2 linked regions of the Elephas maximus indicus genome follow. The protein of the gene in region 1 purifies or fractionates together with the protein of each later gene. This does not show direct contact. Links are inferred from orthologs where the notes say so. Each region holds a gene or a part of one and is shown on either strand. Other genes may lie near its edges.

Evidence for each region. The genes of interacting proteins can lie anywhere in the genome.
Region 2: the proteins of RNF7 (region 1) and SPSB2 purify together in Homo sapiens (co-immunoprecipitation; 3 studies listed by BioGRID and IntAct, with this or other methods). This does not show direct contact. The link is inferred for Elephas maximus indicus from reciprocal best matches to the Homo sapiens genes RNF7 and SPSB2.

Annotation. Positions count from the first base shown.
Region 1 is NC_064841.1:17,959,125-17,962,870, reverse strand, and holds the start of RNF7 (RING-box protein 2), read left to right. Parts: upstream 1-1,505; 5' UTR 1,506-1,612; coding exon 1,613-1,787; intron 1,788-3,746. UniProt on the Homo sapiens protein: Catalytic component of multiple cullin-5-RING E3 ubiquitin-protein ligase complexes (ECS complexes), which mediate the ubiquitination and subsequent proteasomal degradation of target proteins.
Region 2 is NC_064822.1:63,670,621-63,674,366, reverse strand, and holds the start of SPSB2 (SPRY domain-containing SOCS box protein 2), read left to right. Parts: upstream 1-1,315; 5' UTR 1,316-1,424; intron 1,425-1,705; 5' UTR 1,706-1,784; coding exon 1,785-2,448; intron 2,449-3,419; coding exon 3,420-3,547; 3' UTR 3,548-3,746. UniProt on the Homo sapiens protein: Substrate recognition component of a SCF-like ECS (Elongin BC-CUL2/5-SOCS-box protein) E3 ubiquitin-protein ligase complex which mediates the ubiquitination and subsequent proteasomal degradation of target proteins.

The DNA of each region.
Region 1 (3,746 bases):
TCAGACTTCTAGCCTCCTAAACTGTGAAAAAATAAATGTTCACTAAAGCCACTCATGTGTGGTATTTCTGTTATAGCAGCACTAGATAACTAGATAACTTTTTTTTTTTTTTAGATAACTAGGATAGGTGGATAGGTGGGGAATCAGACCATTCCTGAGGCTCTCTGTAACTCAGCTTTTTTTATCTTTAAAATGGAGATGTTGTCTGCTTTGCTTGGGAAAACATAAAAATATGAAACAGTTAACATGGTTAGCTGCTAGCCAAAAGATTGGTGGTTTGAGTCCACCCAACGGTGCCTCAGAAGAAAGGCCTGGCAATCAACGTCTAAAAAACCAGGCGTTGAAAACCCTATGGAGCACAGTTCTACTCTGACACATATGGGGTCACTGATCAGTTGGAACTGATTAGACAGCAGATGGTTTTTGGTTTTAGCAGCAGAGCGACCCTGGTTTCAAAACTGTCACCATCACATAATAGCAACATGACCTTTAACTTACTTCACTTCTCTGGACTCATTATCCCTACATTAAAAAAAAAAAAAAGGTGTTAAGCTACATTATAGGGTTCTCAAAGTGTGGTCGAGGGTCCCTAAGATTCTTTCAGAATGCGAAGTGCAAACCTGTTTGCAAAATAATATTCAGAAGCTATTTCCATCTTTCACTCTTATTTTCTCCTGAGTGTACCGTTGTTGTTGGGTGTCCTCTAATGGTTTCCAACTCATACTGACCTGATGTGACAAGCAGAACGGCCCCACAGGGTATCCTTGGCTATAATCTTTATAAAGCAGGTTTTTCTACCGTGGAGCCACTGGAACCGACAACTTTCGGTTAGCAGCCCGGTCGCTTAAGTTTTCAAAAGGCTATATGATCATCACTCTAATAATATCTTGTAGTGGATTTATTACTGTTATTTTTAAACGAATAAATATATTTAATTTTTTTCTTAGTTTTAATTTCTTAAAAGTAGATAGATATAACTCACATTAAAAAAAAAAGGGGGGGGTGGGTCTTTAAGGTCCTAATAATTAAAGAGTGTAGAGGGATTCAGACGCCAAAAACTCTGAGAAGCAGCGAACCGGATTTCTAGAAGATCTTCAAGGTCATTTATTCACTCAACAAATAATTGTCAAGCGCCTACTATAAAAAAAAATTTTTTTTTTTTTTACTATGGCCAGGCATTTTTTAGACACCGAGGATATAAGCTGGTGATGAAGACTCCAGACATGGCCCCTGCTCTGATGTTTATTTTGGGAGACAAGCTTTGGAAAGTGGTCCGTTTAGTGAAGGCCTAAAACAGGGCACGTGGTTCCTGCAGTCTGTGCGCCTAACGTGACACGGTAACAATAGGACTGCCCGACCCCCCCCCCAGTCACCTGGCGGGCTCCCCCGCTGCCCCAGGGCGGGGAGGCGGGGACTAAGGCCCCACCCCCGCGCCGACGAAGAGTGACGTCACCAGACCTCGCCAGCCAATCGTGGGCGGCCCCGAGCGGAGGCCCGGAGTAGCCCACGGCCTGCGGGTGGCGCTGTGGCCCGTCGGGCGGCCCCACGGAGCCGCCATAGCAGTCCTCCTCCGGCGGCCCAACGTCTCCGCCGCCGGCTTCGCGCCGCGGTCATGGCCGACGTGGAAGACGGCGAGGATTCCGGCGTCCTCTCCTCTCACTCCGGGAGCGCAGGCTCCAAGTCGGGGGGCGACAAAATGTTCTCCCTCAAGAAGTGGAACGCGGTGGCCATGTGGAGCTGGGACGTGGAGTGCGATACGTGCGCCATCTGCAGGGTCCAGGTGATGGGTAAGCGCTGCACGCGAGACGCGGGCCGCGCTGCGGCCTCCGCGGGCGGCCGGGCGGGCCCGAGGCCTCGGAAAGACCCCTGCCGGCGTGGGCGGGGGTCGGCCTGCCCCGGGGCGGTGGGACCCGGGCCACGCCGGTGCGGCTGCTGGTCCCAGGACGGTGGTCGCCTTCTCTGGGGCTGCCGGGTCGTCCAGCAGGCGCCCAGCGCCGGGTGCGGGGTTGGGGGGAGTATTCTAGCGAGGGAGGCCGGCAGTCAGCGAGTGGAAGAACAAACAAAAGTCGTTTCAAGTGGTTGTTGTTAGTTGCAGTGGAGTCCATTCAGACTCGTGGCGACTTCATGTTTGCAGAGTAGAACTGCTCCATAGAGTTTTCCAGGCTGTGAGCTTTCGGAAGCAGATCGCCAGGCCTTTCTTCCGAGGCGCCTCTACGTGGGCTTGAACCGCCAAACTTTAGGCTTGTAGTCGAGGACCAGGAGAATAAAATCGGGTGACTTAATGGGAGCTGGGAGGAACCGCCTCGGTTTGTGTGCCCAGCCCCAGTCCCATCTCTAAAAGCAAAACCGGAAAGGGGTCAGGGTAAAGGCCCTGATTCAGGAGAACTTTGATGGTTCTGGTCACACACCAAAGTGATACTCTAGAGTCATCTTCCACGTGAGCAACGCCCTCCGTCCTGCTCCTGAGAAGCGCAGAAAAGAGAAGTCTTCCCAGACATTGCGTTTCCGGATGAGGGCGAGTCGGATGGAATCGTTCGGCATGAAGGGAATACAGTGTAGTTCAAGAATGTTCGTGTTTCATGGGAATTGAGGACTCTAAGTCCGCTCTTCAGGGACAGTGCTTCTACTCCAATAATAAATGCATGTGGGCTAGAGAGGGAAAACGTGACCTCTGCCCTCCCTTCGCGCCTCCCCCGCCCCATCGTAGAATGCCATTTCCGAGATGTGCCCCCCTCTGACTCATGCCTTTGTGGAAAATCTCTTTCAGAAATACGTCTTAACCTCTTTCTGTGACATGTTCAATAAAAATATTGGACCAAGGGAAACCTGCAACAACTTAATCCGGTTTTATTTTATATGGTTTCGGTTTTAAGGTCTTCGACTACCTTGCAGCAGAGGTGCTGTTTAAATTTAAATGCAAGTTACGTTTGTAAATAGGGCATTTAAAATTACTGTCATAGCACCTTAAATGTTTCTTCGGGGTAGGTGAAAAAATCTGAGGTTTCTATGGTTTGAAAACTGGCTTGTCCTGAAAATGAGAGAATTGGAGAAAATAACTTAAAATTTCTTTTCCTTCAAAAACAAAAAAGAGTAGAACATGGTTATGTTTAATACATAACCTCTATCCGACCAAAACATCACGGTGAAATAAAGGGGGAAAAACATATTTCATGTGCAGTGCATGACTATGAAAAGGTAAACATAAAAAAAAACGTACTTAATCATAAATGAGCTCTCAGAAACAAGTAACAAAAACCTCAATTTATGTCCTCTTTTTTTTTTAGTATGCGTTTTTTATTCATAAGGGCTTGTTTCGAAAAGAATTTACAACACTGGGAATCAAAATGTTACTTTTTACTTTTGAAAAAACTTGATTTTAGACATGATCTGCTTACTTGGATGTTGGATTTAAAAGCATCTAGCTTGTTTGCCTGGAACACCCCTTCACCCCCACCCCTCCCCGCAGATACACACCTTACGTACTAGAATCACAGCTTCCCGTTGAGGTGACATTTTTAACTGATCCAAGCAACTTACACATCTCATCTTTTACAGAACAAGCTTTGCTAAAAATTTTATCCCATAGGTTTCCACTAGGGTAAAAAGAATTTATCTCTAAAAAAGCTGTTTTTTCCCAGAAGAAATTTTTAAAAATAGCAAATGGAAATGGAGAAACCTAAAATAATCAAAGTGCAACAAATAAATTTTACTGGTCTTTTTATAGTAGGTCAAAGTATGGGTTATAA
Region 2 (3,746 bases), on another chromosome or scaffold:
TGGACATGTTGTCAGGAGAGATCAGTGCTTGGAGGAGGACATCATGCTTGGCAAAATAGGGAGTCAATGAAAAAAAGGAAGACCCTCAACGAGATGGATTGACACAGTGGTTGTTGCAACAATGGGCTCAATCATAATGATTGTGGGCATGGCGCAGGACCAGGCAGTGTTTCTGTTGTGCACAGGTTCGCTATGAGTCCGAATCAACTTGACAGCACCTAACAACAACATTACCTCTGTTTTACAGAGGCAACAGCCATGGGGAGGTTATGTAATTTGTGCAAGGTTGCATGCATACTGGCCCTTAGGTATTCACACCCAGTTGATCTGGCTCCAAAGTTGGCATCCTTCACCACTGTACTATACTGTTCTCTATAGAGTTGGAACTCAGTAAATGTTGATAATGACAGTTACACTTAGTGAGTACATATTATGTACCAGGCTGTCTGTGCTAAATGCTTTATATGGATTATTCAACTCGACAATAACCCTATGAAGTAAACAACATCATTTTCCCATTTTACAAAACAGGAAACAGGTTTAGAGAAGTCTAGCAGTCTCCCCAAGGTCGCACAGCTAATTAGTGGCATAGCTTCATTCAAAACCATGCTCCTAATCACTGCACTACACCAAATGAGACCAGCAGTTCAGGAACGGATTGACGTCCAGTATGAAGACTAGAACATCATGGAGCAGATGACATCTGAAGTTCAGAGAACCTGAAACATAAGAGTTTAGAACTTCAGACACGGCACAGGCTGACCCACAACCCGGGGCAGAAACAGACCACCCCAGAAGCAGTGACCCAGAATCGCAGAGAAATAAAAATTGTTGTTAAACACACGGAAGTCCCTCCTCGGCCCATGCCCTTTCGCCCCCAGGGGCTCAGAAGTTGGTTGCCCGGAGGTGACTCAAAGGTCTTGAAGATAAGAGAACAGACCCTCAGGGATCCAGCTTTGACCACGACATCAAAGGGTTAATTCCGAACCTTTATCGCCAAGGTGCCGACTCCGATGAGGCAAGGGATAGGTTAACTGCCCCGGTGTGCCTCCCCCGCGGGGGCGGGACCACGGGGCGGTGCGCGGCGCGGAGCGGTGATCAGAGGGTTAACCGCCTCGGAGGTTCACCCGCGTGGGTGGGGTCTCGGGGCGCAGTGTGTCTTCCGCAGCTGCGACCGCAGTGTTAACCGCTGCGGAGGGGACCTCGCGGGTGCAGTGTCTCGGGGAGGGGCGCGGCGAGGAGAGGGTTAACCGCCCCCGGATGGCCCCGCCCGTGGGCGGGGGCGGTGCCTAGGGGCGGGGCGCGGGCTGGGGGCGGTGCTGGAGGCGGAAGCGGCCGGCTGTCTGCGCCCGGCGCGCATCTGCTGCCCTCGGATCTGCTCGTCCCGAGGGCCAGCTATTTACGGGGCTGGAAAATTGACCGAGGTTCGGAGGCGATGACCGGGATGCGGGAGGGCAAGGGGGACGGTGGGGGGTGCCCATGGAGAGGCCCAAAGGGAGCGAACTGGCGAGAGCCTCGAGATCTGATGAGGGATGAGGGCAGGGTGAGGAATGGGCCTTGGAGCCCTGGGGGAGCAGAGGAGGAGCAGACAGTGGGCAAACATGGGGCCAAAAGAGGGCGGATGAATGGATGGGGTGCCTGGGTGAGGTGAGGCGCCCCCGCCAGGATTTCGCGGTTCACATCTTCTCTTCCAACTCCGCTCCAGGTCAGCCCCGAATTGGAGCTCAACTTTAAGAAGAGAGACACCCCAGCAAGACTGGGGAGTCTCCCAACTCCTCACCTCCATGGGCCAGTCGGCCCTGGCAGGGGGCAGCAGCAGCACCCCTACCCCACAGACCCTGTACCCTGACCTCTCTTGTCCCGAGGGCTTGGAGGAGCTGCTGTCTGCGCCCGCTCCTGACCTGGGGGCCCAACGGCGCCACGGCTGGAACCCCAAGGACTGCTCAGAGAACATCGAGGTCAAGGAAGGGGGATTGTGCTTTGAGCGGCGGCCCGTGGCCCAGAGCACTGATGGGGCCCGGGGTAAGCGAGGCTACTCGAGGGGCCTGCACGCTTGGGAGATCAGCTGGCCCCCGGAGCAGAGGGGCACCCATGCCGTGGTGGGCGTGGCCACGGCCTTCGCCCCGCTGCAGGCTGACCACTATGCGGCGCTGCTGGGCAGCAACAGCGAGTCGTGGGGCTGGGACCTTGGGCGCGGAAAGCTGTACCATCAGAGCAAGGGGCCAGGGGCCCCCCAGTATCCAGCCGGCCCTCAGGGTGAACAGTTGGAGGTGCCAGAGAGGCTACTTGTGGTTCTGGACATGGAGGAGGGAACTCTGGGCTACGCTATTGGGGGCACCTACTTGGGGCCAGCCTTCCGCGGACTGAAGGGCAGGACCCTCTATCCGGCAGTAAGCGCTGTCTGGGGCCAGTGCCAGGTTCGCATCCGCTACCTGGGCGAAAAGAGAGGTGAGGCCTGGGGCAGGTGCTGGGAAGAGGGTTCTGTCACAGGTGGCAGTGAATTGGGATAGGAGCTCAACGTCTGACAAGAGGGTGGGCCTTCATCTGGGCTGCCTCCTATCCGTATTCCGCGCTAGGCTTGGCTAAGGGATGTTGCTTAATTTAATCCTCCCAAACAACAACGAGGTAAAACTGAGGCTTGAAAAAGCAACTTGCTCAAGTTCTCTTGGCTAGTAAGTGGTGAAACCTCAAAATGGAGGGAGTCGCTCCAGGGATTAGACTTTATAGGAAACGTCAGCCCCTGGAGCAAGAGATGCAAGGGTTAAATGGGGTTGGGAGAGGTGTACAGGTTCCAAAGGAAGAGAGGGCTGGCAAGGCCAGGCACCCAGGGTGTATACAGATTACCTGGGTTCTGACCCATCTTTGACGCATACCTACTTCCTTCCTCAGTAGAACCTCCAGAATGGAGCTGTGGGGCCCTGGGCACCAGGAAGGAGCACAGAGGAGGCAGGCCTTGGGGAGGAGCCTCCTTGGAGGCAAGGGCTTGGGACTGATCGAAGTTAGCCTTTCTCTGAGTTTGCAGTCTCCAGCAGAACTTAGATGCCTCTTCTCCCATCACCAGTGGCAAGCTTCTATAGGATGGAGGACCATCCTTCCTTTACATAGCCCCAGCTCCGAGGCACCTCAGGAATCAAAGCCTGGCTAGCTCCACCACTGTTGGAGCCACCTTGGCCTGTTGCTTTCAGGGCCTTAGCTAGAGCTTTATTACCAGCTCTGATTGGGAATGTGTGACATCTAGCTGTGATGCCCTACCCCCAAGAGCAGATGCAGAATTCTAGGGTGCCTTAGGTTTCCCTCTCAGTCAAAGTGGGAGCAAGTTTAGAGCAGGAAAGCAGAAGGGAACCTGGGCAGGGCCCTGTAGTTTGAAAATGTCTGGCTGGTGCTGCATCTCTACTTACCTTCCCCTCCTTCTCTCCCAGCGGAACCACACTCCCTGCTCCACCTGAGCCGCCTGTGTGTACGCCACTCCCTGGGGGATACCCGTCTTGGCCAGGTATCTGCTCTGCCCCTACCCCCTGCCATGAAGCGCTACCTGCTCTACCAGTGACCCCTGTGCTACCAGACAGTGCAGGGAGGCCTTGCCACCACCCACCCTGTGGAGGATGGGAAGCCGGGCATTGCTGGCCTAGACCAGCTACTTAAAACCAGTGAGGCTGGGGGAAGGTGAGGCTGGGCCCCTACCCCAACATTCCCAACGTTCTGGGGAGCTCAACCATCCCAGAGGCACCCAGAGGGGGTGGAAGGGA